Linked DNA regions of Oryzias latipes. The protein of the gene in region 1 interacts with the protein of each later gene in a pairwise test. Links are inferred from orthologs where the notes say so. Each region holds a gene or a part of one and is shown on either strand. Other genes may lie near its edges.

Evidence for each region.
Region 2: the proteins of rad23a (region 1) and mindy3 interact in binary tests that used the Homo sapiens proteins (3 or more experiments, as listed by UniProt). The two-hybrid records come from large-scale screens. The link is inferred for Oryzias latipes from reciprocal best matches to the Homo sapiens genes RAD23A and MINDY3.

Annotation. Positions count from the first base shown.
Region 1 is NC_019866.2:22,942,520-22,946,641, reverse strand, and holds the start of rad23a (UV excision repair protein RAD23 homolog A), read left to right. Parts: upstream 1-1,322; 5' UTR 1,323-1,507; coding exon 1,508-1,573; intron 1,574-2,231; coding exon 2,232-2,393; intron 2,394-2,497; coding exon 2,498-2,694; intron 2,695-4,122. UniProt on the Homo sapiens protein: Multiubiquitin chain receptor involved in modulation of proteasomal degradation. Binds to 'Lys-48'-linked polyubiquitin chains in a length-dependent manner and with a lower affinity to 'Lys-63'-linked polyubiquitin chains.
Region 2 is NC_019874.2:16,911,209-16,915,417, forward strand, and holds the start of mindy3 (ubiquitin carboxyl-terminal hydrolase MINDY-3), read right to left. Parts: upstream 2,801-4,209; 5' UTR 2,668-2,800; intron 2,221-2,667; 5' UTR 2,083-2,220; coding exon 1,989-2,082; intron 1,697-1,988; coding exon 1,617-1,696; intron 1,508-1,616; coding exon 1,447-1,507; intron 1,337-1,446; coding exon 1,130-1,336; intron 956-1,129; coding exon 904-955; intron 262-903; coding exon 147-261; intron 1-146. Other genes in the region: probable assembly chaperone of rpl4, read left to right, coding at 3,214-3,283, 3,427-3,542, 3,628-3,774, 3,911-4,057. UniProt on the Homo sapiens protein: Hydrolase that can remove 'Lys-48'-linked conjugated ubiquitin from proteins.

The DNA of each region.
Region 1 (4,122 bases):
AAATCATGTTCAAAGTGCTCAATTCTGTCTTTTAAAATCACTTCCTAAACTCTTTTATGCAGCAGATACCCAAAGAATCCCTTTCTCCTAGGTTTTCATTGACACACGTTGACACCAAAGTCCTTTCGTTTGAACCAGTTTGTGTTGGTCGTGTGATAGTGGCATTAAAGTCTGCTGTGCAGAAAAAAGGCCCTCCAGGTGTGAATGCAGATATCCACTGTGCCTGAATCAGGAGGAAATAAACAAAGAGTGAGTTAATATTATACCCAATGATGAATAAAAGAAGTTTACAGCACGATGAAGTTTATGGTTATGTGGCTCCTTCTAATGCAAAGTTTAAGTAAATGCGTGTTTTGGGCGTCTCGCATCACGCATAGCTATAGGTTTTTGTGTTCAAAACTTGCGACCATTGACTGTGTGTGATGAAAGGTTAACCAGGTCAAACTTTGACCAATCAGGGACTCGGATTTGGTAGTGATTTGGCGTTGTAAACGTCGCTTCAGACTCAAAGACCCACCCCAATGAAAGTGGGGTTTTTAAATTGTTCTTGTGGCATTTTTCGGACAATGGAGAACACATATAAAGAAAATTCAGCTTCAAATTGGGGGGGATCCCGAGCACAGCTGTGTCACCGCTCCCCCAGGGGATGGGTCAGAACATGATGTGTATAAAAGTTTTGTGAATCTGGAACAGACAAAAAAAATGCCATCTTAGAAAGCTTGTAGCTGTGACACGGATACTTGTGACCTAGAAAATACACTGGGCGGGGCCACAAACTCACTGCTTTGCTGCATTTTGATGCATCCGCCTGTAGACCAGATCCATGTAGGCTACATCTTTGTTTTACTCGTCCGAGCTGGCGTCTGGCTCAAAGCCGGTCAGCACCAATATTTGTTGCACTGATAATGTTAGGTTGTGTGGGGCTGTAAGCTAGCAGGAGAGCATGTAAACAGAAGGGTGATGGGAAGGGGGGCCTGGGTAGCTCCGCACCAGAAGTGTTTCCTACAAACTTAGAGGTGAATTTTTAATGAACTGCTGCTGCTTTGCAGGAACTACGTCCACGAAATCAACACAGGTTTTTGAATTTTTTTGTCTAAAAACAGCATAATCGTCACTAAAAGACCACCAGGAACGCTTTGAAAATAGATCAAAAGATGATCAAAGTGGGACTTTGAGTCTCACAGGCACTTAACATGATCAGAATGTATTTCTATATAGTTAAAAAGTTATAAGTCTTGTGATTTCTGTGCGCGTGTGTTTGTCTTGCTTGTTTTCTAAAGCTTTTGTGCTGCTGGCCCTCTCGTGGTTTCTCGCGATATCTCACAGCCTCCAAGCAGGAGTGCCCGTAACTTGTCACCAAAGATGGCGATTTGCTGAGTGCTCATGGATACACACATTTCTCGGCTAGTTGTTATCTTACTCAAAACGCGAACCTGAGACACAGACTGACTTTTTTTTCCTTTAGTGCGCCGCTCTTTTTCCAGTTTGAAGCACACCGGACGCCGCCATGCAGATCACTCTGAAAACGCTGCAGCAGCAGACGATTCAGATTGAAATAGACCCCGAACAAACGGTAAGTGGCTAACAGCTAACTGCGTTAGCTTCCAGCACCGGAGTTGTCTTTTAGCTCCGCGTGCACACCCGACAGCTCCATAGAGCAGGTACAGTGAAAGGAACTAACTTTTATCACATCGAATTAATTTCTGAATTGTGTGAACATTTAAGCCACACAAAAAATGCTTAAAATTAAGAACACACCTGTTCCTTTACGCGCTGAAGCTACCTCGCTAAGCTAGGTTTCAAGCTAATGTTGCTAAAATTAACAGAGTCATTGGGCCGCCACCTGAAAGCTGGTTGTCACTAGTTGAAGTTGCTGACAGAGGATTGTTGCGGCCTTTTTGGCTGTGAATATATGAGGTAAAACCACCAACATGTGTGAATCAGAGACGCTCAGTCAGTGCGCTGGTGGTGACGAAGGATGATGCGCGTGCTCTAAATGCTCATCATGACACTGCCAATCACGCCTAGCTCCTGATAGATAGCCCAGCTCTGGAAGCCTAGATGGATTGGGTTAACTTCTACTGTTTAGATGTCTAACAAAAGTAAAATACACGCTGGTGCTCCAGATTTGGCCTTTTTCGCATGGAGGCGGCTGGGGTGTGGCTTTCAGGTGTTGAGGATAGGCTGCCTCCGGGTAGTCCGACCATCATGTCTGCCCTCTTGTGTGTCAGGTCAAGGCCTTGAAGGAGAAGATAGAGGCTGAACGAGGAAAAGACAACTTTCCTGTTTCTGGGCAGAAGCTGATATACGCCGGGAAAATCTTGCAAGACGATACGCCAATCAAAGACTACAAAATCGATGAGAAGAATTTTGTTGTAGTGATGGTATCCAAGGTGAGACTGCATGGTCCAGCTTTTTATCTTTTTTTATGTGTGCAGCGGACTCGCGTCTGGATGCAGTTCCTCTGACGTTTTCATTTGTTTTCTGAACACGTTAGGCTAAGCCTGCAGCCACGACCTCGGCACCAGCCCCGGAAGCCCCCAAGCCCCCCGCACAGGACTCTGGCTCCACATCAACCGCTGCCCCGCCTTCAAATCCTCCTGCTGCACCCACCCCTGCAGCTGTCCCTATTCCTCCTGAGGAGGCCAAACAGGAGCAAAGTGCCGAAGCCACAGAACCACAGCAGCCCGCCAGGTAACAGGCGTACCGCCACGCTCGCCGGTGTCAGCTGGTAGAAAAGGGAGACGAAATGGGGAAAGAAGTCACTTAAATCTGAGCGGGTTTGTACGATGACTTAGCATTTAATTCAGCAGAATGCAGTGAGTTCGGCTGTTGTTTTCTTTATAAACAAAACAAAAACAAACATCATTTTGTTGTTTTGCGGGATTCAGACACTGACGTCTCCATCATAGTTACAATGACTTTGCAAATCATTTACAAGATTTTCATAATATCCTTAACTTTTGTATCACATTTTTTACTTAAATCGACAATTAGATTTAAAGGAAGTGACTATTTCACCGTAATTAGGGCAGGGCTTATGGTTACAGGTAAGGTTAGGGTTCAAATACGTGCAGCAATGTGTATTTGGGCCACATGGTTTTCGTGTGATCCACATGTTTTTCCATCAGTTTTTGTGCTGGTTGCACGTAAACGCCTGCGAATAACATCGACCATATTTAAAACAATTACCGTAATTTCCGAACTATAAGCCGCTACTTTTTTCCTGCGCTTACAGCCGTGCGGCTTATTCAGTGACGAGGCTAATTTATGGTTTTATTTGGCGGCCGCCATGTACGTACTTTCGGACACAGTGAATGGTTAGAATTCTCTATCTAACACCAAGGGCAAGTCATTTGTTTTTCAATACACGTCTAGGCAGCCAAACAGCATGGACCTAACTTCAGGTCTTAGACACTTCAGTCATGGTTCCACAAACGAAACACGCATGCCCAGCCGCATCCCAGAATCCTTTGGTGCCATTAGACCCAACGTGCACGTGATCGCCACTGCAATATGATGAAGCTTTCAAGTTAAAAGCAATCGTTAGAAGCAGCGTGAAAAAATCCACCATCACACTTACTCTGGGAGGCAGGACGTGATTTGTCAGGATGACAATGTTGCCTAATACATGCGGCTTGTACTCCGACGCGGCTTGTGTATGTAGAAAAGTAGTTAAACACGTGAAAATGGGTGGGTGCGGCTTGTAATTGGGTGCGCTTTGTAGTCCGGAATTTACGGTACTTTTCCGGAACTTATTTCAGTGAAATGAACATCTGTCCAATTTTTTAATCTACATAAAAACACTTTTACTGTATAGATTTATTTACTTCGGGGGACAGAAGCGCTTAAAGTTCGTTTAGTTTCTAAACGTAAAATCCAACATTATTCAGTAAATTTAGAGGGATGTCCTGATCGGGGTTATTTTTTCCAGTCCAATGCGAAACGACTCAGTCGGCCTGATTTCTGCTCACGTGATCAGATCTGGACATCACTAATAACTTCTCTGCTGTTAAACAGGGGCCTCCAAAGTTTTCAGAGTAGGAGGCTTCTAGGAGGGAAAGCAGGAGGCTACCACCCGGGCGGTGAAAGCAGGAGGGGTTGATTGAGTGGAGGCTAAAC
Region 2 (4,209 bases), on another chromosome or scaffold:
CAAAAAACAGAAACCAGAATATTGATGCAAAATCCTCTTGAAGGTCAAAACATTACTATTTAATGTTTTTTTTTAAAAAAAAAAAACACATACAAACAAACAAAAATATTTTGCAATCATTTTTAGAGAAGAATTAACATTTTTACCTTGGTGAGGATGACGGAGTAGAGGAAAAGTAAAACTCCACAGCACCCCCTCCAGGAGTGGTAGAGAGACAACACCTCTTCTCTCAGATCTGATGCTGACAGGATGGTTCGTTTGCTGAAAGATAAAAATCAACTGTAGGTTCAAAAGAACAATAAATACAGAAATTAATTCATCAAGAAAGTCAGATCCGCTAGGCTTTTTTTTTGCCACCACTGTTTCCCCCATGTGATTTCTCCTCATCTAAAAAATGGGCAATTTCATTGCGTATGTATTTGTTGCAACAACAATTAAGACAAATCAGTCAGTCCTTTAGGATGTGAGACCAAGATAAAAATTAAATGTAGACTAATTAAATGTAACAGAAAAGAAAACATATTCTACAGGTTTGCAGAGGAATCTTAAATCTTGATGTTAGAGCTGTCCATCAAAGTCACCAAGCCCCTCTGTGTTTTAAGTCAAAACAGATTTTTTACAAATCTCAGACTGCATTTATTTCACTTGGGTGAACCATCTAAAAACATGGTGTACTGTATAAGACGTATCTTTTTTTCATACTGGGTAATCAAGGATAGTCCTGAGTCATCAAATTTTTAGCATGGTGAAAAAGTTTAATACATGTAACTGTAAAAGAATGATGTGCGAGGTCTTAACATTATAGAAAACACAATGCATTACTCAATATTAGGATCACATCAGGTGAATTCAGCTGCCAAGATGCAAAGTGCTTCATATGTTAGAACACTTAGTGTCACTTACTGGAGAACACTGTGAAATCGCTCAAAGCTAAGATCCTCAGCAACCGAATAAGCTAGGCAAAAGAGAACACACAATCTCTTAACAAGCAAAACAAAATCTTGAAAAGGTTAGTCATAACAAAATACCCCCCCCCCCATTTTTGACATAAAACAACGCCTCAGTAAATGAGTGGGCACTAAATTAATGCATGCATCTCATGCTAGAAAGTGATAGACACAGCACTTACTGGGTTGCTGCTCCTGCAGAGGCTTGCTGCTTTCGGGCTTGTCCTGTGTTTGTACCTGTGACTCTGGCTCTGTTGCAGTAAGTTTGCCAGTGTCTGGGGAATGTCCCTTAGCCCAGGTCACAATGCAGAACCCAGTTGAAAGGCTGGCACAGGCTGACTCAAGAATTTCACTCAACGTAGAACACAGGGCTGTTTTCTGTTCTTCCTCTAAACAGATAGAGACAATGTTGATTAATTGAAATGAAAACGTAACAAAACTACATAAGTAACACCAAAATTTGTAGCTTGAATGTTTTTTTCCCCCACTAATAATCTACCTGGTAGTTGTCTCCAGTTGGAGCTTTCTCTGTTAAAAAGTATATTCTTCAAAAGAAAAGCCTGTATAAAAAAAAAAAAAAAAACCCTCTCAGACTGTGTAAGGACAGACTCAATGGCAAGTTCCAAAAAAACTTTTATATCTTGATTTGATAAAGCAACAAGACAGTACCTGGACAGGTGCAATTACAGCACATGGTCCTCCTTCAAACTGCTCCAGCGCTGTGGGTTCATACTCGCTAAAAACAAACCCTGTTTAACGGGAGAGAAAATAAGGTACAAAAGAAAACTTACTTTGATATTTTCTGAGTTTGTAAGAAGCACTCACACCTCCACTTCAAGAAGGGCCCACATTAAATTTGAGTTTCAGAGGGATTTCAACAAAACATCCAAACATAAGCAGGAAACGGTAATGATTTTCAGTAATATTGAGAAATTCCTCCATCAGCTAGAAACCAGGAGGGAAAATGTCAAAGCATTGATGATTCCATTTATCAAATAAACATTATTGTTCATTTTAGGACATTCAAATACATGATCATACCTTGGGTCCATCTTCGAAAGATTGAGGCTGACACACCTCCATCAGAAGTCCTCCCCCAGACCAAGTCCACCACCTCTTTATTCAGCTCTGACATGTTTTATTTCGGTTCTTCTTATAATCCACTTTTTTTAAAGGCTGTGCCTGTGACATCTGCCACAAGCCACTCCTGAGACTAAACTGGCACCAAACGCACGAGTAGGGATGACATCAACTTTGCCAAATCAACCTATAGCTAAAAAGGTGAAAAACACAAATTACTATTGGTTTATCACCCGGAAGCAGTTTAAAGATTAAGTCAGACCTCAAATGTCAAAGTGCAGTGGAACTGTTGACGGCTGATAACGTAATAATATTTTTCTGCAATGAATGTTTGAAACTAGCTTCATCAACTGCTAACAGCTAAGAAGAGCTGCATGCAACCACCAAACGGTAAACCATACATTTGAAGACACAAAATAATTGATTATAAAAATTAAGAGCACCCTGGTTTGCTATAATTTAAAATAATTCGCGACTTAACAATAATAATTAAAAATGTAAAGCTGTTTTGGCAATAACCCAGCCTAGCATTAGCAGCAACGCTACCAGCAGCTAACCGTTGCTTTGTGTCATTCACTTCCCATTAATCAGTAGCGACTACAAATAAACAGTTAAGTCCAGATGTAGAATTTTCGGTCACCTCGGTAAAAAGTCGAGCTGTCAGAATTTCTCTGTGAATATATTTTTGTTGAAATTACCACCGAATGCCACTTTTCCGTCATTCGTATATTTACTGACAGCAAACTGTGGGGGGGAAACGTACGTACGTAAATCTGTACGTAACTCCCGATTGGTTGACATCATGAGGGCCAAGTTGTTAGCTCATTGGTCAAATGATATGTCAATAAAGTCGAACACCTGCCCACATTTACGTAACAGAGAGAAAGATAATTCTGAAAATTAGTGATAATTTAATTTTTTTCAAAGAATGAATAAATAAGGAAAGACTCAAGATAGAGTAGTACTACTGAAAAAGACTCATAATAAAATGGTGACTTAAGCAAAGTCGTGACGGCACTAAAATGTCCACTACCAGCCTCCGTAGTGGTTAATTTGTCAACATTGCCGCATGCGCACTTCAAGCATTTGCCTAGTGTGTTAACACGCTTTTGCTCTGTTCTCACGTTGGGGGAAAATTCGGATTTACAATCACATTGCAAATCTATAAAACCGATTATCCTTAGACATGGGAGGTCAGGCAAAGAGCAGTAAGAAGAACAACAAACCGAAGAGGAAAAACCATCGAACTAAAAAGGGTAATATGTACAGGACAAAGTAGTCATTTCGTTACAAGTGGACTGGATGGTACCTAACATAAGAAAATAACCTAATATATTACCTGCTTTGACTATTATGGGATTCTAGTTAGACAAAACTAACACTAAGCCTGTCACTACAGCAGATGCTGGAGGATTTGTTGATTTGTCACCTCAAGAAAGGATGAAGCTAAGAATGCACGAGAAAGCTAAGAAGAAGACATCCCAGAAATATTCAGTGGAGCAACTACTTGAGAAGGTCATGTTGTGAGCATGTTCGGGTTTGTTTATTTAAATATTACTTTACTACGGGGAATAATTTGGTCTTAACTGCATTTGTACAGACTGAAGAATACATGGACAGCTTTGACTTTGAGATGGCTGGCCTCTTCTGTCAGCGAGCCTTGGATGTGGACCCCAACAACCTGCAAGCACTTGACATGCAGGGACACATCTGCTCTGAGTTGGGAGACACACAGAAAGCCAAAGGAATATCCTATCATTTTTTATGTTGTTTTTCTTATAAATAATATTGCATTTATGTATTAATCCTAAGTCACAGAGACACAGCTCTTATATTTCTCTTTATTTTCGATATAATTCTTCTCCTTGACTAGTTTCCTCTAAGTTTTCCTTCGTGCAGTGGAGCTGAGTCCAGATGAAGGCCACAGTAAATACATGTACCTTGGACAAATCCACACCGGATTGGAGGCTGTAGGTTACTACACTAAAGGGATACAAGTACTACTGTCAACATTGGAGAAACAAGAAACAGTAAGTGAAAAGATGTTGAAAAAAAAAACAACTCAGTGAATCATGAAACAAAAAGTAAAACATTATTTTAAAATTGTGTGGTATTTTAGGCATTATTACGACCACAAGAGGGTGCTGTTTGACAATACATATTTTCTGTTCATTGTTTAAGC